Oryzias latipes: one gene and its partners. The protein of the gene in region 1 interacts with the protein of each later gene in a pairwise test. Links are inferred from orthologs where the notes say so. Each region holds a gene or a part of one and is shown in the gene's direction. Other genes may lie near its edges.

What was found.
Region 2: the proteins of tmcc2 (region 1) and iqub interact in a two-hybrid assay, tested with the Homo sapiens proteins (2 studies listed by BioGRID and IntAct). The two-hybrid records come from large-scale screens. The link is inferred for Oryzias latipes from reciprocal best matches to the Homo sapiens genes TMCC2 and IQUB.
Region 3: the proteins of tmcc2 (region 1) and hspd1 interact in a two-hybrid assay, tested with the Homo sapiens proteins (2 studies listed by BioGRID). The two-hybrid records come from large-scale screens. The link is inferred for Oryzias latipes from reciprocal best matches to the Homo sapiens genes TMCC2 and HSPD1.

What each region holds. Positions count from the first base shown.
Region 1 is NC_019863.2:2,302,216-2,308,561, reverse strand, and holds the start of tmcc2 (transmembrane and coiled-coil domains protein 2), read left to right. Parts: upstream 1-2,723; 5' UTR 2,724-3,024; coding exon 3,025-3,027; intron 3,028-5,304; coding exon 5,305-5,703; intron 5,704-6,346.
Region 2 is NC_019864.2:6,249,005-6,255,398, forward strand, and holds the start of iqub (IQ and ubiquitin-like domain-containing protein), read left to right. Parts: upstream 1-2,874; 5' UTR 2,875-3,106; coding exon 3,107-3,239; intron 3,240-4,576; coding exon 4,577-4,752; intron 4,753-5,796; coding exon 5,797-5,952; intron 5,953-6,394. UniProt on the Homo sapiens protein: Adapter protein that anchors the radial spoke 1 (RS1) complex to the A microtubule of outer doublet microtubules in axonemes. The triple radial spokes (RS1, RS2 and RS3) are required to modulate beating of the sperm flagellum.
Region 3 is NC_019879.2:152,971-159,269, forward strand, and holds the start of hspd1 (60 kDa heat shock protein, mitochondrial), read left to right. Parts: upstream 1-2,779; 5' UTR 2,780-2,891; intron 2,892-4,480; 5' UTR 4,481-4,482; coding exon 4,483-4,656; intron 4,657-4,756; coding exon 4,757-5,092; intron 5,093-5,167; coding exon 5,168-5,263; intron 5,264-5,477; coding exon 5,478-5,571; intron 5,572-5,641; coding exon 5,642-5,810; intron 5,811-5,878; coding exon 5,879-5,978; intron 5,979-6,059; coding exon 6,060-6,299. UniProt on the Homo sapiens protein: Chaperonin implicated in mitochondrial protein import and macromolecular assembly. Together with Hsp10, facilitates the correct folding of imported proteins.

The sequences.
Region 1 (6,346 bases):
AAGCCAATATGTCTAGTAGGGTCCAGATGACCCCACTCCCAACGTTAACGTGCTCCCAAGGCATGTTAACGTTGGGAGTGGGGTCATCTGGACCCTACTAGATAGCACAAGGGTTATAGATATATATTCAGCATATATCAGATGTATTTGAGTAGTATAAATCTAAAAACATTGCAGTATTGCACAGAAGTTGTACTTGTAGGTATTTTAAGGTGCGTAAAGGACGATCAGGAACAGTATTTTCAGGTCCAAATGTATTCGTGAGGAAGGTTTTTCCATCAGGAGCAAAGGTGTCATGGATGGAACTACTGCTCTCCGCTTGTAAACGACATATCTGTCCAGCAAATCCTGCTGCTCCGCCTAATCTGGATGAGAGTCATGTAAGGTCACTTTAATCATGTATGAACTGACGGCTTCGAAAAGAGCAAACCTGCCCCAATGCACTTCTGCTGATGCTTCTGGTCATGCGATCACTTTTCAGCTCCTCAGGAGTCGACTCTTATTTATTGTGTTATTCATCGTGTTTGTGTGGATCCGTGATAAATCTGAAATAAAAGGCTGATGGTTTTTCTGGATCCTAACTCAATCCAAGGAGAGGAAGAGGTGATGAAGCGCTGAAGGAGTTTTATCTGTGTTTTTCTACACACACCTTTATTTTCTTCAACACAATTGTTGGGTTATTCGTGCTGGGAGTTGAGGTAATAAACAACACGGCAGGAGTGGGTTGATGATCTCAAAGCAGCTGTGACCACAGTCACCAAGAAAACCATTGGTGATACTTCTTGCTGCAATCCTGATTATAGTTAAACAAGTAAAAGAAAGAGACAAAGAGCAGAGAGGAGGCGTAAAAACAGTGAATGGAGATCCGTCCTCGCCCCCTCCAGCAGATCAACTGCAGCCTTCTCTCTGTTGGCTTTACTTTGCATTTTATGGCAATCTGCTTTAGTGTTATATGTCTGTTCTGGAGGAAATTCCCAATATGTTCTGCAGGTACAATAGAGGACAATCTGTCATCTGTAGATTTATTTGAACAGTGAGAGATAGAAAATCACAAAGCACATCAAACAAACGTATATACATTTATTTAGATTTCATCAAGGGACTCCAGTGTTTGATCCCCTAGCAACCATTAAGAGTTCTGGTTCACACAGACCAGTTAGACTCTCCTCTTCAACCTGTCACCTGAATTGAAGACGCCTGTAGAAAAGACACCTGTCCAGAGTCCATCAGACATGGAAAAGACTAAAGAGTTTTCATTGGATCTAAGGGAGAAGATTGTAGAACTGATGGACAACAAAACCATCAGCAAGAAGCTGGGGGTTACCATGACAATTGTTGGTGCAATTCTGCCAAAACACAAGAACATAATCATCAGTGGACCTTTAGGTCTGGGGCTCCAAACCAGATCTGTCCTGGTGGAAACGGTTTCCATGATCATGAGAACAGAGAGAAATTGGCCTAAAACAACACGGCAGGAGTGGGCTGATGATCTGAAAGCAGCTGTGACCACAGTCACCAAGAAAACCATTGGTGATACTTTATGCTGCAATGGTTTGACATCTAGTAGAGAGTGCTAAGTCCCCCTGCTGAGGAAGGCAGATGTGCCGGCCCACCTGAAGTGTGTCAGGGAACACCTTAATGACTGGACAGTGATTGGAAGAAGGTGCTGTGGTCAGATTAGACCAAACAACGAGCTCTTTGGCATCTACCGACTCAAGCCGTCTTGTTTGGAGGAAGAGAAATGCTGCCTTTGACCCCAAGAACACCATCCCCACTGTCAAGCATGGAGGTGGAAGCATTATGCTGTGGGGAGCTTTTTCTGCACAGGGCAACTTCCCCGTGTGGATGGGAGGATGTGCTTACCTCCAAATGTGTGGTGGATGGGTGGCTCTTAACAGGACCTTGACCCAAAACATACAGCCAAGACAACCAAGGCTGAAGAAGCAGATCGTGGTCATGGAGCGGTCCAGCCAGTCTCTGGACCTCAGTCCTGTAGAAAACCTGTGGAGAGAACTGAAGCTCAGCTTTGCCAAGCAACAGCCACCAAATCGGAATGATTTAGAAGACATTTGAATCGGTTAGTTCAAAAGGGGCCCAAGTCCACAATTTTTCAAAATAGACAACAAGACCGGCAACACTTCTTTCCTCCACTGTAGGTCTTCAGTTTTTGGTTTGTTGCTGGGCAGCAGATTTTTCTGGAGCCTCCCTGACAGCTTCAGCGCTTCTCCCACGCTCCTCTGCTGCACCTGAAAGAGGAGGAACCTGAGCTTCTCTGGACCGGAGCTGCTTTTGAAGGTGTTGATGAAAGCTTGCTTTCATGTGCGCTCAGCCTCCATCCTCCTGCACACATGCACACACACACACACACACACCCACACACACACACACACACACACACACACACACACACTGACATCTTCAGAGGACACTCCAACAAGTTCTCAGTGGTGGCGCCTCCTCCTTCATCTTCTGTGATGAGCACACAAGAAAAGGGAGGTGGTCACTGTGTGTGTGTGTGTGTGTGTTGGCATCAGTCACACAGGCTGTTTGCACTCAAGGTGCAGGCCTGGAGCCACCCTCCCTCCCTCCCTCTGCTGAGCCTCCCCCCACCTCCTTCTGTCCATTCCCTCCATCATCTGTCCTGCTGCTCCCTCATCCATTACAGGGCAGAACTGCTCCCATTTGCGCAGACAGAGAGATGCGGAGGGAGAGCGGGGCGGAGGGTGAAGCAGAGGGAGGCGGCAGGAGGAGGAGGAGGGGGGGGTGGTCGTACGACACAAAGGAGAGGGAGGAAAACAGACGAGCGCAGAGGGAGCAGGCTGTGGATGCTGATGTCGTTAACGATGGAGCGTTAGAATCCGGAGCGGTGATGGCGCGCGCGATAGCTGCTGGGAGCAGACTCATTTGAGGAGGGGGGCTGCTCCTTGGTGTGCAAAGAGGGAGGAGGGAGAGAGGAGGAGGAGGAGGAGGATGGGCCTCGAACAGACACTTGCAATGTCGCTGCAAAAATTGGATTAAAGCAGTATGGTAACGTTTCTGATTGAATATTTTGTTGTCGTCGCTGTGCTGCGTGTGTGTCGTCCTCGTGCGTCCACATCCACGCGTGTTGACATCCATCTCTCGTGTCACAGTGTGTCTCCAGGAAGCCACAGACAGACCACGTCCTGTTGTTTTCTGCCATCTCCATCTTCATCTCAGCTCGGCTCTCCTCCGCCGCGCCGTCCGTGTGCTTTTACACTACAAACTTCAGGCATGTTATGACACCCACCCCCCACCCCCCAGCTCTGTGTTTGGTATCTGGGCCAATGCTGACACCCCCCCCCCCCCCTACTGTCCCATGCTGCAAGCCTCATCTTAGCTTCTCACTTTCCCTCCCAAGATCAGGACGGGACTAATCTGCGCGCGCGGCGCTCATCTGGAATCTGCCCCGACACCATTCTAACCCGCTTTGAAGAGCCAACGCGCGCGTGCTCGCTCCTCTCACACAGGCGCGCAGCTCCAGCGCAAAAATAGACGTGTCGGTGTCATGCGTCCGCTGGCGCGCTCCAGCTCTGAGGCGTCAGATTGCGGTGTGTTGGCTTCAGGCGGGGGAGTCAAACCAGACCCCCCCCCCCCCCCCCATGCAGCTGCACCCAGCATTCAGAGCAGGGAATCCCCCACATGGGGGGCACTGCAGGTCCCGGAGGATTGTCCTCAGAGAAGGACAGCTCTGATCTGGTAGATCTCCATCCATCCATGCATTTGATAAGAAAAGTCATCTTCAGTTTTTAGGGTAAGGCTCTGAGGCTCTGCTGAAGGAAACTAGAATTATGCTTCACATAATTAATAAAGATGGCCGCTGCACTCAGCTCTCTGCTGCCTGAGCTGTTAGAGCTCCTCCATGAGTCAGGCCGCTTCAGTTCATGCTCAGCTCTTTCACTTTGTTTTTCACGTGTTTGCTGCTACTGAGATGCTCCGAAAACCCCTAAAAAATCCCCTTAAAGCCTTCAAGTCTTTATTGTTGTTGCTAACAGCACAAGAGGCAGGAAATGCGTGTTTAATAGATGTTAAATCAACAATTTGATTGTTTCTTGGCAAAACCTGTTTATTACCCTTTAAATGAAGCCAAGGAGCAATCCAGGCAACACAGACAGAATCTGACAAACACACCTTTACCTGTCCTCTCTGCCACCTCATTCGGATTGATTGGAAAGCCTTGGAATTTCCTCTTGGTGGAACAAGAATCCAAAACTATTGAAACGCCTTATGTCATTACTTCAAATTCGTGATCATTTTCTTTCGTGTTAGTTTCATTTTACTCTTCAAAATAATTCAAATTTTCCTTCCATGTTGTGCCTTAAATATTAAATAACTTCTGTCTGCTCATATTTGAAAAGCAGGGGTCAGCAACCTGTGGTCCACAGGTGGCTTTTCTATTCCTCCCTTGTGGCTCTAGGGACGTCATTTATGTTTCGATTTTTTACATGTCAGAAAACTGAGCAAAATGATAACCACGTTCTCTTGTCTTCTGCTGCACAACACTGTCGTTGCTGTTCAGACACCAAGTTCCTGAAGTACACAATTGCAGTTACTTATTCATATATTTTTGATATTTTGATTCTATACCAATGTTGTCATGTCTATAAATGATAGGAAAAGGAGAAAAAGGAGGTCAGAATAATAGAAAAAATCCTCTTTGACTCGATTATTTAGCATTTTTTATTCTGTAAAATGTGCTGCAGCAGATCTGTGTCTTATTTGACACCATGTGTATTTTATTTTTGAGAAGGAACTTGTTTTAAGTGTTGTATACAAAATATTACAATATTTTTATCACTATAATATTAATGATTGTAAATATTTAAAAGCTACATTTCATAAATGTAAATGGCTGAATGGTTACCAATTCATAAATTATGTATATTTATTTTAAACGATGAGGTAGGAGTTTTTGGCTCTCGCTGGACTTTACTCTGTAAGAAACTGGACCAAATGAATTTTTTAGCGTTAACCCTTGTGCTATCCTAGTCCCTTTAACGTTGGGAGTTGGGTCATCTAGACCCACTAGACAGTGCTCTGAACCTTTTTTCTTCAATGATTTGTGATCTTCACTGGTGTCCATGGATTACATGAAATCTTTCCACCTTTATCCACCTTTGTCATGGTAGAGAGAACATGTCAATGTAAGGGTGGGGTCATCTAAGATAGCACAAGGGTTAAGGGATGCAGGCCTCTGGTTTAAAGGAAGATTGGATAAAATACAACCTAAGTGTTTGGTTTTCAGCCTGACCTTTGTGGCTCTGACCTGTGCTCATGTCTCCTCAGCTGGACAAGAGTGAGGTTTCGACCCTGGGGCTACCATCCACCAGCAGCCATGGTGGCTCTGACACCAACATCAGCACGGATGGAGCGGGGGCCACAGCGGCTGCGGTTGTGGCGAGTGGAGCTGAGGGCTCAGCGGCTGGTGAGCCGCCGCGGACACGTGCAGCTCTGGAGCACCTGCAGCAGAAGATCCTGAAGGTCACAGAACAGATCCGGGTGGAGCAGGAGGCTCGCGATGACAACGTGGCGGAGTACCTGAAGCTGGCCCATAACGCGGACAAACAGCAGGCCTCCAGAATCAAGCAGGTGTTTGAAAAGAAGAACCAGAAGTCTGCACAGTCCATTGCACACTTGCACAAGAAACTTGAGCACTATCACAAGAAGTTAAAGGAGATTGAGCAGGTAAGATGGACCATTTTTACACAGATTACACTCACAGGCCACTTTATTAGCTCTGGGTTTGACCCCTTTGACCTTCAGAACTGCCTTAATCCTTGGTGGCATAGATTCAACAAGGTTCTGGAAACATTCCTCAGAGAGTTTGGTCCATAATGTCATGACAGCATCACACAGTTGCTGCAGATTTGTCAGCTACACATGGAGACTCATCAGACCAGATGACGTTCTTCTAATCTTCTATTGTCCAGTTTTGGTGAGTCTGAGTGAATTGTAGCCTCAGTTTCCTGTTCTTAGCTGACAGGAGTGGTACCTGGTGTGGTCTTCTGCTGCTGTAGTCCATCTGCCTCCAAGCTGGACATGTGCGTTCAGAGATGCTCTTCTGCAGACCTCAATTGGAACCAGTGGTTCTTTGAGTTTCTGTTGTCTTTCTATCAGCTGGAACCAGTCTGGTCATTCTCCTCTGACCTCTGGCATCAACGAGGCATTTCTGTTCACAGAACTGCAGCTCACTGAATATTTTCTCTTTTTCTGTCCATTCTCTGTAAACCCTATACATGGTTGTGGGGGAACGTCCCAGTAGATCAGCAGTTTCTGAAATACTCAGACCAGCCTGTCTGGCACCATAAACCACGTTCAAAGTCACTTC
Region 2 (6,394 bases), on another chromosome or scaffold:
GGGAAAACAGAAAAGAAGACCAAGTGGTGGAAGCTACAGAATGAAGAAACTTGTGAGGAATTTAGGCAGAAGTTGAGGCAGGTCCTGGGTGGTCAGGATGAGCTTCCAGAGGACTGGGAAACTACAGCAGAGATTATCAGGGAAACAGGTAGGAAGGTGCTAGGTGTGTCATCTGGAAAGAGGAAAGACGGTAAAGAGACTTGGTGGTGGAATGAGGAAGTACAGGAATGCGTCCAGAGGAAGAGGTTGGCTAAAAGGAAGTGGGATGTAGAAAGGACTGAGGAAGGTAGACAGGAGTACAAGGAAGCGCAGCGTAGAGTGAAGAGAGAGGTGGCAAAGGCCAAACAGAAAGCTTACGATGAGCTATATGACAGGTTAGACACAAAGGAAGGAGAGAAGGACTTGTACAGGCTAGCCAGACAGAGAGACAGAGATGGGAAGGACGTGCAACAGATAAGGGTGATTAAGGACAGAGATGGAAAGGTGCTAACAACCCAAGAGAGTGTACAGAAAAGATGGAAGGAGTATTTTGAGGAGCTGATGAACGAGGAAAATGACAGGGAAAGAAGGGAGGAAGATGTGGTTGTTGTGGAGCAGGAAGTAGCAGAGATTGGAAAGGATGAGGTTAGGAAGGCTCTGAAAAGGATGAAGAGCGGAAAGGCCGTTGGTCCTGATGACGTACCTGTGGAGGTATGGAAGTGCCTAGGAGAGACAGCAGTGGAATTTCTAACAAGGTTGTTCAATAGGATTTTAGAGAGTGAGAAGATGCCTGAGGAATGGAGGAGAAGCGTTCTGGTCCCAATCTTTAAGAACAAGGGTGACACGCAGAACTGCAGCAACTATAGAGGAATAAAGTTGATGAGCCACACAATGAAGCTGTGGGAAAGAGTAGTGGAAGCCAGGCTTAGGAAGAAGGTGGAGATTTGTGAGCAGCAGTATGGTTTCATGCCCCGTAAGAGCACCACTGATGCCATTTTTGCTTTGAGAATGTTGATGGAAAAGTACAGAGAAGGTCAGAAGGAGCTGCATTGTGTGTTCGTAGATTTAGAGAAGGCGTATGACAGGGTGCCGAGGGAGGAGCTGTGGTACTGTATGAGGTCGTCTGGAGTGGCAGAAAAGTATGTCAGAGTAGTTCAGGACATGTATGAGAGAAGTATGACGGTGGTGAGATGTGCTGTAGGTCAGACAGAGGAGTTCAAGGTGGAGGTGGGACTACACCAAGGATCAGCTTTGAGTCCTTTTTTGTTTGCTATGCTGATGGACAGGCTGACAGACGAGGTAAGACAGGAATCTCCCTGGACAATGATGTTTGCGGATGACATTGTAATTTGCAGTGAGAGTAGAGAGCAGGTGGAGGAACAGCTAGAGAGGTGGAGGTTTGCTCTGGAAAGAAGAGGTATGAAGGTCAGTCGTAGTAAGACAGAATACATGTGTCTGAACGAGAGGGATCAAGGTAGAAGCATTAGGTTACAGGGGACTGAGGTGAAGAAGGTGCAGGAGTTTAAGTACTTGGGGTCAACAGTTCAGTGTGATGGGGATTGTGGAAAAGAGGTGAAGAGGCGAGTGCAGGCAGGTTGGAGCGGTTGGAGGAAAGTGTCAGGAGTGTTGTGTGACAGAAGAGTGCCAGCAAGACTCAAAGGAAAGGTGTACAAGACAGTGGTGAGACCAGCTCTGCTCTATGGGTTAGAGACGGTAGCAGTGAGACAGAGACAAGAGGCTGATTTGGAGGTAGCAGAGATGAAGATGTTGAGGTTCTCCTTAGGAGTGACCAGGTTAGACAGGATAAGGAACGAGTACATCAGAGGGACGGCTCATGTTGCCTGTGTCAGCGACAAAGTCAGAGAAGCCAGACTGAGATGGTTTGGACATGTTCAGAGGAGGGATAGTGGATATATTGGTAGAAGGATGTTGGAGATGGAGCTGCCTGGCAGGAGGGCAAGAGGACGGCCAAAGAGGAGATACATGGATGTCTTAACAGAGGACATGAAGTTGGCTAATGTTAGGGTAGAAGATGTCCATGATAGAGTGAGGTGGAAAAGGATGATTCGCTGTGGCGACCCCTGATGGGAAAAGCCGAAAGAGAAAGAAGAAGAAAAGCAAAATAAAAAAATAATTGAAAAGCAAATATTTAATATTTTCATTTGCAACTTAAAAGTTGAAAGTTTTGTGTGCAATGTTGTGGCAGAAATATCGCTCCAAAGTTATCCCAACCCTGTTAAACTCACCGTTGGACTGATTAGCACCCAGGTGACAGTAATATACCCAAGAAGATCCGGTAATGTTTCAAAATAAAATGTCTATCAAAATAAAAGATGGTGATGATAAAAGACTCGTAATAAAACTAACTGAAACCTGCCAAATTGACGCGAAAACCGCCACATCAACTATTCTTCACAAAATCAAACCCACCAAATTGGGTGGAAAACCGCATAATCCGGCAACACTGCTGGTTCCTTCCTTCCTTGTTTGGCTCCTGTGACACACCAACACAGTAGCTGCATCGGTCACGTGACTTCTTCTGAAGCGATCCACGCACCTACACGGGGTTTCACTTTATGAGCTCGACACGTGAGCCGAAGCGTCAGTGTTGTCGGACCATCATCAGAACAAACAAATCCGCTTTTGTGACTAGTTTCTCGGATGCTTTCTGTTGCTCGAGCTCTATTGAACCCGAGTTTTCGTCTCCACCTATCTTTCCCAAAACTAAAATGTTTGTCACTAAAATGTTAAAATCGCGGCTGTAATGGAGTCCAAACAGAGACAGGTGGCTTGTGACACAAATATTAATTTGAAACAAAAGAAACTTCTTAAACGGCCGTGGCAGCCACAAGGAATGAGCAGGCGGCAGCGCGAGGTGTGAGCATGCGCGAGGCTGGACCGCCCGCGTGCGGTCTGCTGGACTGCAGGCGTTCCTTTCTGTTGCCATAACAACGCGTACACTGCAGCTTCCCACCGGTCCAAAGCTTGCCGCGTTTCGATTGCTACATTGATCCTCAAATTGGGGGGAAACTGAACGTTCATAATTCTGCTGGTCCTTTCTAGTCTGATTCTGCTTTTCCCAGTAAGGTGGCGGTTTATCTCTAAAGAAACACTGAGAAAGACTCCAATGGAACAAAGCCAGATTCTAAAAGAATGTGTAAAACAAGAAGAGGTGGATGAAACAGCAAACCCTCAACTCAGCAAAGTTGGAGCTTTGGAGCCGCCAGCTCTGGGACATGAGGAAGAACCGGTTCTTGCAGGTAAGGCCCCCTGCTGGTGGGGGCAGACACACACCTTAGTTGAGTGACAGTACCATTTTTCTGAAGTGCTGTCTTTGGATTTTTTTTGTGTGTGTGTGCAATTTATTAACAGTGAACTTTCCCACTGAAATGATGCTATGTTTAACGTGTGATGATGTTCAGAGGAGCGGGCTGAGCAATGCTGATGCACTAAGGCCGTCACCACGGCAGCCCATTGCTCATGTTTTAAATAGTTTGCTTTTTGTGAAAAACGATTTAAGCTTAAATCTCTACTTAAATCTAATTATAATGTTATTCAGTGTTGATTATCAGAAATGAATGGACTTCACAGAAGCAACCATCTGACACAATCAGGTCTCCACAGACACTTGTTATTCCTTACATAGTAGTTACTAGTTATGAATTAAAAAGGAAATTAACATGATTAATATTATTATATATATATAGTCCTGCTAGCTGCTGATTAGTTCAATCAGATGTCTCCACACTGATTGACTGAACAAACCTGGTCCAGGTAATCAGCAGCAAGCAGTGCAGGGAGAGCTGGAAAACAGGCAGGGGGGTAGATCTCCAGAACCGGGGATGAGCAGTCCTGGGTTACAGAAACCTTTCCAATAAAAATCATTCAGAAAATAAGAAAGTTATGGCATTTTAAGTGATCACATGTTGGGTATAATTTTCTTCTTGAAAAATAAAGGAAAACTATTGAGCCCTTCAGGTGCCAGTGGTTAAAAAGAAAAAAAATCTGATAAACCGTGAGCACAGATTAGTAAACTGTGCGCTGGAATTAGATTGTGGCCTGAAAAAACATAATCTGTTTTTGTGCAGCAAAAGTGCTTTTTTATCTGTATGCCCCCCCCCCCCCCCCATTTTTCTCTGAAGAGGACACATTTTCTTCTTTTTACATAGCATTAAACTCATCTCTCTGTACCACAGTCCATGGTCACTTCGTTATTTCTCCCGATTTCAAGACTAGCAGGACGTGCGGGGAAAACTTTGACCCATTAGAATTTTTTCATTATTTCCTTGTTAAAGACTTAAGTGTCTTTAAATTGCTCCAACAATAACAATAACTGCTCAATGTTATTATGAATCGCATGGGTATTCTAACAAAAAGCTGTGAAACAAATATTTCAAATCTTTTTTTCTTGTACAGTATTGAGCAAAAGGGAAACAAGACAGAAATAATTGAACAGACAAATAAATATTAAAAATAGTTCAGAATAATCATGATTTCTTTTCCACTTAACCTAATTGTGATAGCGTCATTCTGTACCTTAAAGTTTGCCAGCTTGTTAATTATTTACACTGTGTATCTTTTACTAATGCACTTTCAGATTGTGCTGGAGTGGAGTTTGTGGTGGTGAAGAATGAGCATTCCTACAAGCAGAAGGCTTTTCTTGGTGGATACCGCCACCAGTTGACAGGAACCGAGTACCACCATGCTGCTGTCCAAACCCTCCCCCGCAAAAAACCTGACAGAGGCATGACTGTCTTTAGTCGGGACTCACAGGTAAAGAACAGAACTTAAATAATAGGGATCTAAAGATTAATATAAACAATGATTAAACACCATCATTTGTGGTTGATGATACGGTTCATAGTCAATATTGGTTCATTTGGAACGATTCGATTTGATCCAAATCACTGACCTAAAGTGGATCCAGAACATCTTTATCCAAAACCTCCACCAGTGTGACTCAGACAGAACATCCTGCCACTGAACAGTGAAGTTTTCCAGATTCTTGGATTTCTTCCAGATCATCAAGTATAGATTAAATCTGTGTCCAAACAAACAAGTAAACTAGAATGAATGTCAAATCCATTCACATGTTAGTGTCCTAAAGTTCAGTCCACGTTTTTCCACCTCCAAAGAATTCAAAGGGAACATTATCAGAACATTCTAGACACTGGATGGTCACATGACTTTGCTAAATTCAAAGTGTTTCTACACGTGATGGCTTGATGTCTGGGGTTTTATTCCCAGGGGTGCAATGAGCTTCATCCAGTGAAAGTCCTTGGGCAAACCCTTCGGGTTACTGCCTAACCATGTAGCCACAAGGCGTGTGCCGGTCCCTAGCCCGGAAAAAATATAAAGATGTGTCAGTAAGGGCATCCGGCGTAAAAATCTCTGCCAAACCACCTGTGCGAATCAGTAAAAGCTGATTGAATGGCAAACCCTGAAGGGATATGGCAAAGGGGGAACAAAAACAAGGACTGTAATGATGCCTTGATTCTTTTTTGCTGCCATCAAGTGTTTTGCAAAGGATGAGGGCACTTGGTATTTTTTGATAAAGTAAAGGACCTTACCACCAGAACAAACTGTATTTATGGATTTTTGAGACATAGTTGTACATAAATAAATTGTTGGATGGTTTCTGAAATTGAGTATGTAAAATAAACTATAGAAAACTAGAATTAGTAAAGACTGTAAATGCAGTAACATCATATTTGCTTTGACAAATGTATAAATCACTTCACTGTTTTCTACCATACATGTCAAGGCAGAGAAACACATTAGACTTTAGTCATTGCTTCTGTTTTGTTCTTTTAACAGACGGTTCGATTGAAATCTCACAACCAGCAGTGTCTAGTCAACACTTCCACCCAGATGGCTGGTATCGGCTGTTATGTCTCATGTATGAAAGACAAGCTGGTCACTCCTGGGAAATACATCACTGCTGATGAATGGCATGACAGAAAGCTGAGGGCCGTAAGTGTTTTTGTGAATAACCAGGTTTTGTTTTTGTTGTGCATGTAAGAAATGTTTTAAAGAAATGATAATAAAAATGTAAAAATTACCTGATAAGTGTTCTTCATACTGTAAACCTGTGGGCACACAGTCAAATACATCTGAAAGAGTGAAATATTTGCCAATATCTTAATTTGCATTAAGGGTTGAACTATTTATATTTCTAATGCAGTTGTGCTTAAAAATAGTATTTTGGGAGCAAGTTAAATTAGTTGTGACCACAATGTGTAACCCTCAGTTACAGCCATGCTTGACAAACATAAGGTTTTTTGTACCCTCACCCCCCACCCCGCAGTCATGATGTTGAGATTCTGACATGTCTTTGGCATGTCCTAACTGTAAACTCAAAATTATGTCTGTCTCGGAGCTCACACCATACTTAATAACTCATTAGCATACTTAA
Region 3 (6,299 bases), on another chromosome or scaffold:
CCTTTCTGGAAGACCAAACAGAGGAAGCAGTGTTCCAGTCGTGTGGAAATGGGTTTTGGACCGGACCTCTGGGGAGTTCTGCTCATTGAGGCACCAGTAACAGTAGGGGGGGACGGGTTTTTAGGATAAGCAGCAAAAACATGGCTGCGGGGCTGAGCGTGTCTGATCTGGGGCGGCTACGAGACGCAGTTTTTTTACACTGCAGAGCTGCAGTCGATGCTCAGCGGTATCCATGGCAACCGTCAGACCACCCCTAACAGGGGGGAACTATTGCTGATAAAATGACAGAAGCTGTGTCCGAATCCCTGCCCTAACTACTAAAAAACTATCTAGTAATTCAGACGCCAAGCTGACTTTTAGTTTTAAACGGCGGATCATTGATGAGCGTTTATGGATGATCATTGATGAGTCCACTGTCATCTGAAGATAAAAACGTTGATGGCTTATCCAAAACATACATTAAATTACATTTATTTGGCAAAAATTGCTCTGATGCAATGCATTGTGGTCTATATTCACCAATCTAGTGAGCATGGATTTCTATGATTCTGGATTGTAGATTCAGACAAACTAGAACATGGAAACCGCCCCGTTAGAGTGATTAGTAAAGGAATTCAGACACAACCTGAGTCTGTGATGAAAGAAAAGCTGCGTTTGTCTAAAAGTAGCAGAAGAATCTGTGTTAAAGCGAAACCAAGTCAGAGTTCATGAAGTCAGACTGAACTTTCAGCTGAATGTTGGTTCATGAGTGAGGATGGGGGGGGGGGGGGGTAGCTCTTCTAGCTTCTATCTGCTCTTTCCTTCAGGGAGCAGCTTCACATGTTCTCTTGTGGCGTGGGGCGTGCGCCGTGGTCCAGCACGTTACCTGGTTCATGGAGCCGGGCCCGACCGCCACCACGGTGGCCTGCAGCACCTTCCCCTGAGACTTCTCCGGCAGCATGATGCCCCCCTTGGTGACGGTTTCCGCCATGAGACGCTCCACCAGCACGCGGTCGAACAGAGGGAGGAACTTCCTGAAGGCCTGCAGGTGAGACAGACAGACGTGCACGCTCAGACGGGGTCACAGAGTTCAAACGGAAGACCGGCTCTGAAGAGAGGTCAGACTCTGCCAGAACAGCGGGTCGGCTGAGACCCACAGAGCATCACAGACAAAGTTCTGCTTTGGCCTTCTGCACGGCGTGAAGCCATCAGCAGGCAGCTGCCACAGTCCCCGCCCCCTTACTGATGACACCACAGAAGGTCGCCTGCAGCATCAGCTGTTCTGTGGAGAACAGCTTAAGGTCTAGAACAGCTGAAGGGGTCCAGGTCAGTGGAAACGCCGTCCTTCAGCCGGATGCTGCCGTTGGATGAGCCCGTTTACCCTGAGAGCAGGCAGGCCGAGGACACCCCCCCCCCCAGATCCTGAGCAAACAGCCTCTCCGGCTCATTCCAGTCTCCACAGGCTCCACCCATGCTGCCCGACCCAAACACGGAGGAGCCGGCTCATCAACCGTCCCGCCCCCACAGCAGAACTGCATGAAGACGCAATGAAACCTTCAAACCCGAGTCTGAATCCGACCTACGTCAGAGGGAAACTCAGAGAGAAGAGGTCCGACTTTAAGACACCCCCCGACCAGACTAAAACTGACCCGAACCGAGAGGAGAACCGGGCCGAACCACCCAAAAACCACAGCAGGCATCCACGGCATCCAAACCCGACAGCAGGTGGCGCCCTGGAGCAGCACCTGGACCCCAGGAAGAGGTCCCACAGGCCGAGGACCCTCCAGAGCAGGGGCCCCAAATCCAGGCCTGGAGGGCCGGTGTCCTACATGTTCTAACCAACCTGCCGCTCAAGCTCCTTATTGGCTAAACACACCTGACCAGGTGACCAGCAGGACACGTGCACGCACATCCGTGTACACGCACTACTGTCCTTAAGATATTCACGGTGTTGATCCCGCAGTCTGAAAAAAGAAGCACGTGGGCTGCTGTGGTCTTTGACTCGCTTCTAACCCGATCCACTCCAGGCTAACCCGATGACGCGGTTCAGCAGCTGGTCGGTGTCTTATGGAAGTGTCCTTGAGCAAGGCACGCCGCGCCGAACGCCGTCCCATAAGCTGAATGGGGCGCAGTGCACGGAGCTGGTTTAACGGAACCGGCGGATAGCACACCGGACGCGTGACCTTGCGCGTGGTGGTCATCATCGTTAGCCCAATCACTACCCCCCCCCCCCCCCCCCCGCGCGCTAACAGAGACAGACGTTAAATGCTGTAAACAACCAGAAATCCCATCATTTTCTCTCTCCTCACCATTTTTGAGCGCTTGCGCAGAGCTGCACGTCTTCACTGAGAGAGCTTCGGACCGTCTGCACTTTGTCTCCACGTGAGGGAAGCCTCCAGATCGCGCATGCGCAGTAACGAGGCGCTGACAGAAAGCTCCAGAACAGCGGGGCTGCAGGCAGACCCGTACCTACAGTTCCGGTCTATCTAGGCCGCATTTGTCATTGAAACGGTGATTTCGTTTCAAAGTCACTCTCTACGGGCTCGCGCAATGTTGCACAATGTGACCTTTGACCTCTTTTTTTTCCTCCAATGGGGTACGGAAAATTCTGGAATCGTAGCCCAGGAACCAGCATAAGTGTGCGTTGCTGCGTTTCTCTGTTAGTTGTAACAAAGTTCATGTGAGAATAAATGATCAGAACATTCTGCGCAGGTATGAATAAACGTCTCCATGAAGATTAAAGACGGGGATAACAACTTGAACGTAAAAGAGAAGTTTTATTGAAGTAGTTATGCGTCATACAGAGTTCTGGGCGGGGCCGTACATAACCCGGATGTGATTCCCCACGTGCGGTATTCTCCGTTAGATCACTCGTGCAGCGCGTGCGGCAGATCGCAGCGGTTCCCTGTCAGGTAAGAACCGACCGTCCGAACCCGCAGCAGGGATCCGTCTCTGCGCGCGCGGCACTTTGTCCTGTCGGTGCGTGGAGAACCGAACAGAACCGAGCTCGGGTTTGTCTGAACAGCCGGTTCTGGCGTATGCGGACCGGTTCGTCCTGATGATTCCGGGACCGCGGCAGGGACGTGTCAAATACTCAGTTACCCCCGTGTAATCCCGTTACTCTGGAGCGGCTGAGGGAATCCGTCCAGGGAGCCGGCACGAGCTCTAACGTTTGACCTTGTGACGTACGACCGGAGGAGCTCACGTGGGGAACCGGGGGCTGTGAGCAGACTGCGGGGCATGTGGGGCTTTAATAACCCCTCAGACTGGTTCTCACCAGGCGTTACCCGGTAGGACCAGGTTCTAGTGCCCCCAGGAGGGGTTAAGAATCCTTTATTCATGAAAAGCTTCATTTGAATGAAATAAGCTGCAATTATTATTCCGAAAACTGTAACAGCCGCTGTTGTTCTGGAAACTAAAGTTTATCTTTTGGTATTTCGGTCATTTTAAAAGGCGTGTTTGAGGAAATGGTAGCAGATCTGTCACCGTAGGAATGAATGAGAGGCAGCTTGGAGGGTCCCATCAGTTATACTCCACCAATCAGAAGTTCGGGCCCGAGGCCGTGTCCTTGACTCCGCCCCCTTACCTCCTCCCGTCTGGACGCATGGAAGCTGCGGGAATGTCGGGCTGGGTTCTGGATGCTCCATTGGAGCTGATGATGGTGGAGCGTTTCTGGCTTTAACCTGACCGTCTACAGCATGTGTCAACCTCAAGGCCCGGGGGCCAAATGTGGCCCTCCGTGTCATTTTATGTGGCCCACGAGAACATAAAGGTGTTTAATTTCTTGGAATAAAAAATAAACATTGGTGTGTATTTATTCATATCTGGGGGGAATTGGATTTAAATGTTGGATTGGTCATCTATACATCAGGACTTAAACACTGTCCACATAACCTAACCTGACAGAATCAAATGTAAAAGGATTTGTGTTAGAATAACAAGCAAACATATGTTTTCTATGCAGCTGGAATTGTCAATTTAAAAAGTTATAATAAATAAATAATGAGTTATTTATCATTAAGGAGTAGTTGCATTTATTTTCATTACATTTAGTTACATGTATAAGTTACATCTGGCCCTTTGAGGACAGACACTATGCTGATGTGGCCCTCAGTGAAAATGAGTGTGACCCGCTTGTTACAGTTTGAAATGCTGCTGAACCAAGATCAGGCCGACTGAGGAGAAACAAGTCAAAGTCAGCTTTGTTGTCAAATATGCTGCAGACACAAGACAGACATGCAGCACAGATGAAGTTACTTTCCTCTCCCCCCACAATTTAAGCAGGATGTTCTGAACTTGGTCACAAATTCCCAGTTTCAGATGATGTTTCTGGTAAAAATTAACTGCTTGCTTGTGCTCAGTCTGCATCTTAAGGATGCTTAGATGCTGCGTGTCACGTGGGTTTGCTTAAGTTCCCGCTCACTGTAATTCCACTGGTGACCACCGGGCGGTACTGCTGGTCCTGTAGGATCCTCAATGGCTTCACTGCTTTTCTCCACAGAGATGTTTCGTTTAGCGACAGTCATGAGGCAGGTGAGGCCCGTGAGCCGGGCGCTGGCCCCTCATCTCACACGGGCCTACGCCAAGGACGTGAAGTTCGGGGCGGACGCTCGGGCGCTCATGCTGCAGGGGGTGGACCTGTTGGCGGATGCTGTGGCCGTCACCATGGGCCCAAAGGTAACAAACCCGCTGACGGGTGGATTAGGTTTGGAAACAGAACAGGAAAGGTGTGAAAGTGCTCCAGTCGAATGTTTTAAGCATCGTCTTCCCGGTCCAGGGACGCACTGTCATCATCGAGCAGAGCTGGGGCAGCCCCAAGGTCACCAAGGACGGCGTGACGGTGGCCAAGAGCATCGATCTGAAGGACAAGTACAAGAACATCGGTGCCAGGCTGGTGCAGGATGTGGCAAACAACACCAACGAGGAGGCTGGCGATGGCACCACCACCGCCACGGTGCTGGCCAGAGCCATCGCCAAGGAGGGCTTCGACAACATCAGCAAAGGTGCAAACCCTGTGGAGATCCGCCGCGGCGTCATGATGGCGGTGGAGGCGGTCATCGGCGAGCTGCAGAGACTCTCCAAGCCCGTCACCACCCCAGAGGAGATCGCACAGGTCTGGGAAGGGCATCCGGTTGTCCTGACGCCGTCTCCACACGGTCACCCTCACTCATCACGCGTGTCGTTTCAGGTCGCAACCATCTCAGCCAATGGAGACACGGAGATCGGAAACATCATCTCCAACGCAATGAAGAAAGTGGGCCGCAAAGGAGTCATCACCGTGAAGGTGAGGGGGAGGGGCTGCGAGGAGTCCACCCACCGGAGTGGAGAACATCCTCCGGTTCTGGATGACCGTTATGTGGCAAATGATGGCAGCACGTTCTGCGTCCATACATGGGGGGTTGGACCAAAGCCTCTGAGAGGACTTCCTGTGTCCTCATTGTCCAACCTTTGACGGCGTCTAGAAGCTTTCTGGTTAACATTCATTCCTTCTGCCGCAGGACGGGAAAACGCTGCAGGACGAGCTGGAGATCATCGAGGGCATGAAGTTTGACCGCGGTTACATCTCTCCCTACTTCATCAACACCGCCAAAGGTAAGGCTCCTCCCCCCAGCCTCACCTGGAAGCAGCTCCCCGCTGACCCCGGTCTCCCCACTGCCACCAGGTCAGAAGTGTGAGTTCCAGGACGCCTACCTGCTGCTGAGCGAGAAGAAGATCTCCAGCGTGCAGAGCATCGTTCCCGCTCTGGAAATCGCCAACCAGCACCGTAAGCCGCTGGTGATCGTGGCGGAGGACGTGGACGGGGAGGCGCTGAGCACCCTGGTCCTAAACAGGTAGGGTTGGTCCGGATCGGGAAGGCTCGGTCCGGTTCTGAGGATCCTAAACGTTCTGTGGTCCGCAGGCTAAAGGTGGGGCTTCAGGTGGTTGCGGTCAAAGCTCCAGGCTTCGGGGACAACAGGAAAAACCAGCTGAAGGACATGGCTGTGGCCACCGGGGGCACTGTAGGTCACCTCTAACCGAGTGGGGGCGGGGGTCAGTCAAACAGCGGGAGCTTCTCCACACGTCTGTCCTCCCGCCCGCAGGTGTTTGGGGACGAGGCCCTGGGTCTAGCCCTGGAGGACATCCAGGCTCATGACTTTGGGAAGGTGGGGGAAGTCCAGATCACCAAAGACGACACCCTGCTGCTGAGGGGCGGGGGCAACCCGGCTGATGTGGAGAAGCGGGCGGCGGAGATCGCCGAGCAGCTGGAGAGCACCACCAGCGACTACGAGAAGGAAAAGCTGAACGAGAGGCTGGCCAAGCTGTCGGACGGCGTGGCCGTG